Schizosaccharomyces pombe: one gene and its partner. The protein of the gene in region 2 binds, or shares a complex with, the protein of the main gene of each other region. Each region holds a gene or a part of one and is shown on either strand. Other genes may lie near its edges. The genes, in order: rfp2 and slx8.

Region 1 (3,774 bases), on a different chromosome or scaffold from region 2:
CCATTGACCAAATTTTGACTGGGTAACTAGCCCTTTTAAGCTTCCAAAGACTTCATTTCCCTCATTTTCGTCTGGAAGAAGAAGACTCGACGAAGACGAACTGTTTGACGAAGCCCATCCATCCCTTAACGATTCTAAGGGATTGGTCTGTTCCTCATTAGTGTTTAAACTATTTTCCTGATAATTTGGAAAAGAATCGAGAGTATCTGAATGGAATGTCGATTCCATAACGCCCTGTGCAAGTACAGCACAAAAGCAAGAATCAACGAAACTCGGCTTTTTTAAAATAAAACTCTAGAATGACCGAAACGGAAAAGTGATACTATGATATTAATGAGCGTGTCAAATCACTGCTAACGTATCTCTTTCCCTAAATTGCCTAGCAAAGTCTCTGTTTTTACACTTGGAACATGGTTAGCACTTGAATCAACTGCTCATAATCTTTGCTGCAATGAGTAACGTAATGTAGCACACTGTGGGTTTAGTACGTTAAGCAGTATATATATATTATATATACAATGTTTAAATACTTGAATCGATTAGATACTGTAAATTATAAACAAACATTACTGTATATTTGAAATTCAGAAAAAACTCTTTCAGGAAACTCCCTTGAATATACTAAGATTTTTAGCTGAAGAATATTTTAATTTGCAGTAAATAAATAAATTCAACATGAAATTGAACATTACGAGAATTCCTAGTATCCCAAATAATACTCATCTAAATAGTGTATTGAAAAGATTGAATCCAGATTTGTTTTTTGTAGAAGGTTTTAGGGTAAGAAAAGCTCTAATTAATTTCCCTTGTACGAAAAATGATGAATCAATATAGAAAGAAAAGCAATTGTTTTTGTGTGATAGCCTCGAAGACGGGAATAAATAATTGAAAAAAGGGGAAATAATCGTCAATAATGAATAAATCTTTTCATTGAGGATAATAGAGCACCTTAGTTCTTATAAGCATTACAAAAACTCGTATCCTTTAAAACCATTACTGGTTATTAAAGCAAAACAAAACGTTCCAAAAAATCGCCAGCGTATTACTTAACCGCCAAATATCCTCTATGGATAACACTTAGTATCCAATCGATAAATTATAAATATAAAGGAAATATAAATTTTTTGGTTATACGCTTTCTACAATGTTGCACCGGACAAGGCACAGTCTTCTTGCGTAACTCTTTTGCACAAGTAGAACAAAATAAGTGTCCACACTTTGCAGCAAAAATGGATTTTTTCTCATCACTTACTAACTCATTTCCACATTTTGCGCATGCAATATTATTATGAGGATGGACATCATAACAAAACCCAGGTGGAGGAGATACCCTTTCGGCGATAGAATTTGATGAATCCTGAGCTTTTTTTCTTGAATTTCGAAACCCATTTTCAAGAAGGGTTCTCCGTTGGGTTTGAGACCTGTTTCTAGTCCTTCGTGCACCATAGAATATCCCCCCTCCAACAGCCACGGGAGGTCGAGTGACTGGAGAAGGAATAGAATTAATAGTTGGAACATTAGAAAGATTAGCGTCAAGGTGGTTACGGCTTGTACGAATCCTTCGACGAGGCTGGAACTCTGGTATTCTCGTTAAATCTAGCAAAGTAACTTCTGAAACATCCGCACCGTCATCTTCTATATCTTCGGTTAGGTCAATAACCTCAGGGCTTAACCTCTGATCCCTTCCTGGTACTAGAAACGTGTAGACGTTAACATATATTCTATAAACCGAAATTTTCACTTACATTCTAGTCCATGCAGATTCATACAACACAAAGCATAAACCTTTATTAAATCCCAAAGCAATTATAATCTTATCAGTTTTTTTTAATGCAACTTGTAGGTAAAATCGATCAACCCCGTGAAATTCAAATGATTCGGCATCACTGTGTGTTGAAGAAAAAGAATATGCACACTGCTATAAATCTTTATTTTTAGAGCGGCAACGAAAATATGTACTCCTCGTAAGCTTCAATGTAATCTTCTTAGGAGATAAATCAATTAGCAAAGCCTAAATCGCTAACTTGGGTAGAATGAAGTACGTAGTGCTGCCACACCCCACAACTCAGTAATTGAAACTTCTCACCCTGCACTTTTCGTTACAAAATATTTTGAACAACTTGTTGTCAGTTAGTTAAATGGCTATTTGAAAAAAATAATAGGGAAACAATATATCAGCCTCTAAAATTTTACAATATCCAGATTTTCGTAAATGGATGGCACAAATAATACAATTCCCTTACAGTTTGGCAAGCAAGCACAAACATACGATATAAATGCGTTAATTGCAAGATTCATAAGACCGAAAGAAAGCTTTTTGATAAACAGTGTAGAAAAAGAATCCGAATCAAAACTCAACTCAAAGAGTACTACTTTACAATCCTCAGACTCTGAGGATTGGGATAGCGAAGAGAATGAGGACGACATTACGGACGTTGGCGTACCAGGTTCGCATGAAATTATGTTTCCGGGACATTCTAAGGTAAGTTGATTTTGTAGTTTTCTGCTTTTACTACATTTTTACTAATTTTTGGTAAGATTGTTACCACTACTACGTTTGACAAAAATGGGTCACGTTTTTACACCGGATCTTTGGACAACACAATCCATTGTTGGGACTTAAATGGCTTGTCTGCTACTAATCCTCATCCTTTCAAAATTATCGATCCTACAGACACAAATGCTGACAATGTTGGTCGTTATCCAGTGAGCAAATTAAGTTGCTCTACTAAAAACCAAATCCTTGCATTGTATACCCATTCTCAGCCGATTTTATATGACCGTGATGGCTCGTTGATTGTACGGTTTAGTAAGGGAGATCAATATATCCGTAACATGTACAATACAAAAGGACATATAGCTGAAATTACTGATGGCTGCTGGCAGCCTGATAGCTCTCAAATATTTTTAACTACTGGGTATGATAGTACTGCGCGTATTTGGGATGTTAATCGCACAAAATCGCAATTGGAAGTTTTCGTCCATGTACCAGAAGGTTCTCACACCGGACTGTCTCGTATACCAGTTACAAGTTGTGCTTGGAATCCAGCAAAACCCGATAATTTTGCAACTGCTGTACTGGATGGATCCATACAATTTTGGCAAAAGGGTTCTCGTACTAAACGACCTGTTATGAAAATTAAGGATGCACATTTACCACAACAAGGTATTTCCTGTCTTAGTTTTTCACAGGACGGAAATTATTTGTTAAGTAGAGGAGAAGACAATGCCCTTCGTGTTTGGGACTTGCGAAATTCTAATAAATGTGTGAATGAGCGTATAGACATTTTAACTCCTAAAGCTGGAGGCAACGCAATATTTTCTCCTACCCAAAAGCTTATACTTGCTGGTTCTACAGCTGTCAATAGCATGAAAGCACCTTTATTCGTTTTAGACGCAATGACATTAGATACGAAAGCTACGTTATTCTTCGATTCCAAGTCGACGGTTACTGCTTCCGTTTCAGCTGTCTCTTGGAACGAAAAAATAAATCAGGTTTCTTTGGGGTCGGCTGATGGCAACGCATATGTTCTCTTTTCGCCTAATGAGTCCATACGAGGAGTTAAGGATGCAGCAATGCGCCCTCCTAAGTCGAAGCATATTGATGACGACTTATCTAGCACTGTGCATATAAACTCATTGAGTGGATCCGCTGGAACTTCTGATTTTGGGCTTGTAGAGGAAACGACTGAATCCGCATCAGCTTATTTTTTGGAAGCACGGCGTCGGCGCAATGCAGTACGCAAAGATCCTAAGCTTTCTCGGCAGCCTCAA
Region 2 (4,734 bases):
TGTTGAGGGATTCGACAGTTATTTTACATTTCCTAAGATCAGAAAAGGCTATAGTGGGGTTGGATTTTATGTAAAAAAAGATGTTGCTATTCCAGTGAAAGCAGAAGAGGGAATTACTGGCATCCTGCCAGTACGAGGACAAAAATATTCATATTCAGAAGCACCGGAGCATGAAAAGATAGGATTTTTCCCAAAAGACATTGACAGAAAAACTGCTAATTGGATTGATAGTGAAGGAAGGTGTATATTATTAGATTTTCAGATGTTCATCCTAATCGGTGTTTACTGTCCAGTAAACTCTGGAGAAAATAGACTAGAATATCGACGGGCCTTTTATAAAGCCTTACGAGAAAGAATTGAAAGATTGATAAAGGAAGGAAATCGAAAAATCATTCTCGTTGGGGATGTGAATATTTTGTGTAATCCTATTGACACTGCTGATCAAAAAGACATTATTCGAGAGAGTCTTATTCCAAGCATCATGGAATCAAGACAATGGATACGTGATTTATTACTACCAAGCAGGTTGGGACTACTGTTGGACATTGGCCGTATTCAACATCCTACTCGGAAAGGAATGTTTACATGTTGGAATACAAGACTTAATACAAGGCCCACAAATTATGGTAAGTTCTGAATTGTTATTTTTTTTACAATGGATAGGTACGAGAATTGATTACACTTTGGCAACACCCGATTTATTACCTTGGGTTCAAGATGCAGATATTATGGCTGAGGTCATGGGTTCAGATCATTGCCCCGTATATTTAGATTTAAAAGAAGAATATGAAGGAAAAAAGTTGTCCAACTTTCTAAGTCACTCAAAAGAACCACCTTTACTATCAACGGCGCATCATTCAGCCTATCGGCCATCAAAAAATATTCATTCAATGTTCCAACATTTCAATTCGATGAAAAAGAATAAAAACAACTCACCCACTCAGAGCGAAAACGTATCTGCTTCTGCGTCCAGCGGCTCCTCACCAACTGTTTCTCGTGCAAACTCTGTCATAGACGTCGATGCCTACCCACCGGAAAAGAGAAGACGAAAAGAACAATCGAAGCTTCTTTCATTTTTTGCGAAGCAAAAGGAAGAGAAAGAAGAAACCAATAAAACAGAAGACGTTTCGATTGAGGTCCTTGATAACAATAATGAATCTGACATAGGGTTGACAGTAAAAAAAAAAGTAGAAAACGGGAACGCCTGGAAGCAAATATTCAGTGAACGAGCTCCTCCACTTTGTGAGGGTCACAAGGAACCTTGCAAGTATTTGACAGTGAGGAAGCCGGGAATCAATTACGGGCGGAAGTTTTGGATTTGTGCCAGACCGGTTGGTGAACTGATTAAAAACTCAAATGCAGTTTCTGAGGAAGATACTCAACCGTTCCAATGCAGGTTCTTTATCTGGGACTCAGATTGGAGAGCAAATTCAAAGGACTGAAAATTTGTAATGACTAGCATAACTTGCTCTTAATCAATTCTCAATTTTGATGTGTATAAACCGCAAAAAGCATTGAGCAGTGCATCACACATCTTTCATTAACATTCTTAATATGTATATACGGAATTTTGTACGGTTAAGATTTCTTTTTTTGAGATCCGAGCATCATTTCCAAACATATAACTTTGTTTGGATGTACTTTTCTTCTGCACACCGGACATTTTTGTGTGGCAGCCGTTGTACCTAAAGCACTTAGTATACAAAAATTGCAAAATATATGCCCACAGGGAGTACAAGATAGGTTTTCCGGACTATCCAGACAAATTACACACTTATAATCAGCTAGTCGTTGTGAAGATGGAACAACCTGTTTTTTGCTAGGTTCTTCTTTTTCAATTTCGGCGTTGGTGGTCGATGGGTTCTTTCCCTGTTCAAATTTTTGTTTTCTTGGATCATAGGAAGTCTCATCAGTTAAATCAATCATATCGCTTATAGTAGTAGGTTGCGCGTGAATACTATTAACATTTGTTAAACTGTTTTCAACGGAAGCTGGATGATTGTTGTAGGTGAATCTTTGATTTATGTCATCAGCATCATTCTGAAAATTAATGTCTTCCAAGTCGAATACTTCACTTTCCACATCTATGTTTAAATCAGAGGTTTCAACAGGTAGTGTTTCTTCTTGTGCTAGCTCCGAAGCAACCTCTCTTAGCGACCTTGGTGCACGATTCAGTGGTAAAGACTCATTCTCAGAGGTAGTGCCTGAAGGATAGTCTGTTGCATCTTCTGAAACCGGAAATCCGTTTCCTGGCGAATTCTCTACTGGAGAAGAACGTCTCCTATTTATTGCTGCATTTCCAGCTGCGACTCTAGCGGATTGAGATGGGATATTGTATGGTGCAGATAAGTTTCTAACGTTGGTATCTCTCTTATGTGCGGGTGGCATTTTTTTGCCAATTGGTCCTGAAATTCGAAAATAGTTTATAGATTATTGATTAATGGGCTAATATTAGGATAATTTTGATCGTATCCTAATCGATTGTCAAATGCTTTTCAGGCTTGCTAGAATAATAAAAGAGAATTGTGTTAACGTCAATATACGCAAACAGCAATTATTTTGGCAACTTGCCAACAAGTTTAAAATTAAATTTAGTAGACCTATGATTTTTGAAGTCTACATGGAAAAATTGGCTCACTACCACAATGTTGTAAGATGCTAGTCTAATTAATATTTATGACCTTTTTCATGAGCACATTCAATAGCGCAAGCGGTATTTCAAATAAGAAAAGAGAACAGAAAAGCTGGTAAAACTTAATTGTGTATCAATAATCTTTTCAATGCAGTTCATTAAACTGCGCAACCGACATTATTATGAGTATTCCATAAACTATGCAAAAATGTATTATGGAGTGCATTAAGGAATGCTAAAATAAAAAAACGATAACAATGTATATCGCTATTTCTTTTCCAAATTGTTGAATATTAGAGGAGTGTATATACTTAGCATCAACCAACGCCTTTTTTTTAATCTAGGTCTGGGTAGACGCAATGGTCAAAAGCTATACGCGGTACGAACCAACCGAATTTTTTGGTGTCATTGCGTCTTCGGGATGTAATATTCTCGGTCAACCCTCTTCGTCTGCTAAATCTGTAGGCAGAGCCATTGTTGGCGGTCTTGAGTCTGTTTTGGAATGGGATTTAAAGACTGGGCAATTACTATCAAAATGGAAGGATTCTGATTGTTCGGCAAAAGTTACTTGTATTGCAAACTTTGATGAAATGTACGCTGTGGGCTATGCAGATGGTTCTATACGTCTTTGGAAAGATGGAGAGCTCTTAATAACTCTTAATGGTCATAAAAGTGCTGTTACTACCATGGATTTTGATAAAATGGGCACAAGATTGGCCAGTGGAAGCATGGATACCGACATTATTGTATGGGATATTGTAGCTGAAACCGGCTTGTTTAGACTACGTGGACACAAGGACCAAATTACCAAGCTTTTGTTCATTACACCTCCTTCGAAGAATACAGCTGAAGAAACAGTGGTGGACACAGATATTGATTCCGGCGACATGGACGTTGACAGTAAATCGTCTGATTCGTTTCTTTTGTCTGTTGGCAAAGATTCTTTTATGAAGCTTTGGGATTTGTCTATTCAGCATTGCGTTGAGACTCATGTCGACCACCAAGGCGAAATTTGGGCTATGTGTGTTTCACCAGACGCCAAACGGTGCCTCACTGCTGGTACCGGTTCTGATGTTAAAGTTTGGGAAATCAGTTTTCCAGATGACAATAATTTCACTCCAACTACTAAAGCATTTCAGCAATTAGGTACCTTTACCCGTCAAAGCCGTGACCGTCCCATCACCTTGGCTTACGACGTTTCAAACCGTTATGTTGTATTCCAAGCTCATGACCGTCTTCTGGAGGTTTTTCGCCTTCGATCAAGTGCGGAGCTCGAAAAGATTCTGAATCGACGACGCCGTCGTAAAAAGTCTGAGGACGTTTCGATCACGTTAAAAGACGAATATGAACCTTTTGCTCTAATTCGAACCACTGCTCGTGCTTCGTCTGTAGCTTGGATACCAGGAAATCGTACACCTACGTTGGTAACATCTCTTCAAAATAACTCAATTGAAGTTTACGCTTTGGATGTCAAATCTGAAGGTTCTGCTGCACCATTAACTGAACGGGCTTCGCGTATAAGTGCCATTGAAATTCCTGGTCATCGTGCTGACGTTCGTACCTTGGCTTTGTCCGCTAATCACGATGTGATTTTAAGCGGTGCTAACGGCTCTTTGAAGCTTTGGAACAAGAAAACCACATCTTGTATCCGTACAATCGAATGTGGTTATGTACTTGCTGCTAGCTTTATAAATAACGACAAGTGTATCGTATCCGCTTACAAATCAGGAGAACTTGAAGTCTATGACATTGCTAGCTCTTCTCTTATCGAACGTATCCAAGCTCACGATGGCGCGATTTGGGATTTAGCGGTTGGTCACGATGGCACTTACTTCGCGACTGCCTCTGCCGATCACACAGTCAAACTCTGGTCTCTAAAATCGTCTTTTGATTTCGTACCAGGTACCACTAGAAAAGTCACCACGTTGAAATTAGAGCAAACACGACAAATAGATTTCACAGACGATGTCCTTGCGGTTAAAATTTCACCTGATGGTCGTTTCGTTGCTGCTTCACTATTAGATAATACCGTCAAGGTATACTATTTGGATTCGTTGAAATTCTTTTTAAATCTTTATGGTCATAAGCTTCCAGTTCTCTCT

What was found.
Region 1: slx8 (region 2) and rfp2 share a complex: the UniProt entries of both Schizosaccharomyces pombe proteins name them as parts of the E3 ubiquitin complex.

Annotation. Positions count from the first base shown.
Region 1 is NC_003424.3:1,678,407-1,682,180, reverse strand, and holds rfp2 (SUMO-targeted ubiquitin-protein ligase subunit Rfp2), read right to left. Parts: upstream 2,014-3,774; 5' UTR 1,768-2,013; coding exon 1,746-1,767; intron 1,693-1,745; coding exon 1,097-1,692; 3' UTR 710-1,096; downstream 1-709. Other genes in the region: 1-phosphatidylinositol 4-kinase Lsb6, read right to left, coding at 1-228; wdr70 (WD repeat-containing protein), read left to right, coding at 2,213-2,482, 2,539-3,774. UniProt on the Schizosaccharomyces pombe protein: Mediates ubiquitination and subsequent desumoylation/degradation of sumoylated proteins and proteins containing SUMO-like domains. Involved in maintaining genome stability where it acts in the cellular response to DNA damage.
Region 2 is NC_003423.3:1,287,573-1,292,306, forward strand, and holds slx8 (SUMO-targeted ubiquitin-protein ligase E3 Slx8), read right to left. Parts: upstream 2,640-4,734; 5' UTR 2,389-2,639; coding exon 1,579-2,388; 3' UTR 1,443-1,578; coding exon of another isoform or gene 664-1,442; 3' UTR 627-663; downstream 1-626. Other genes in the region: AP-endonuclease Apn2, read left to right, coding at 1-626, 664-1,442; U3 snoRNA associated protein Dip2, read left to right, coding at 2,992-4,734. UniProt on the Schizosaccharomyces pombe protein: Mediates ubiquitination and subsequent desumoylation/degradation of sumoylated proteins and proteins containing SUMO-like domains. Acts as a critical suppressor of gross chromosomal rearrangements (GCRs) during normal cell cycle progression.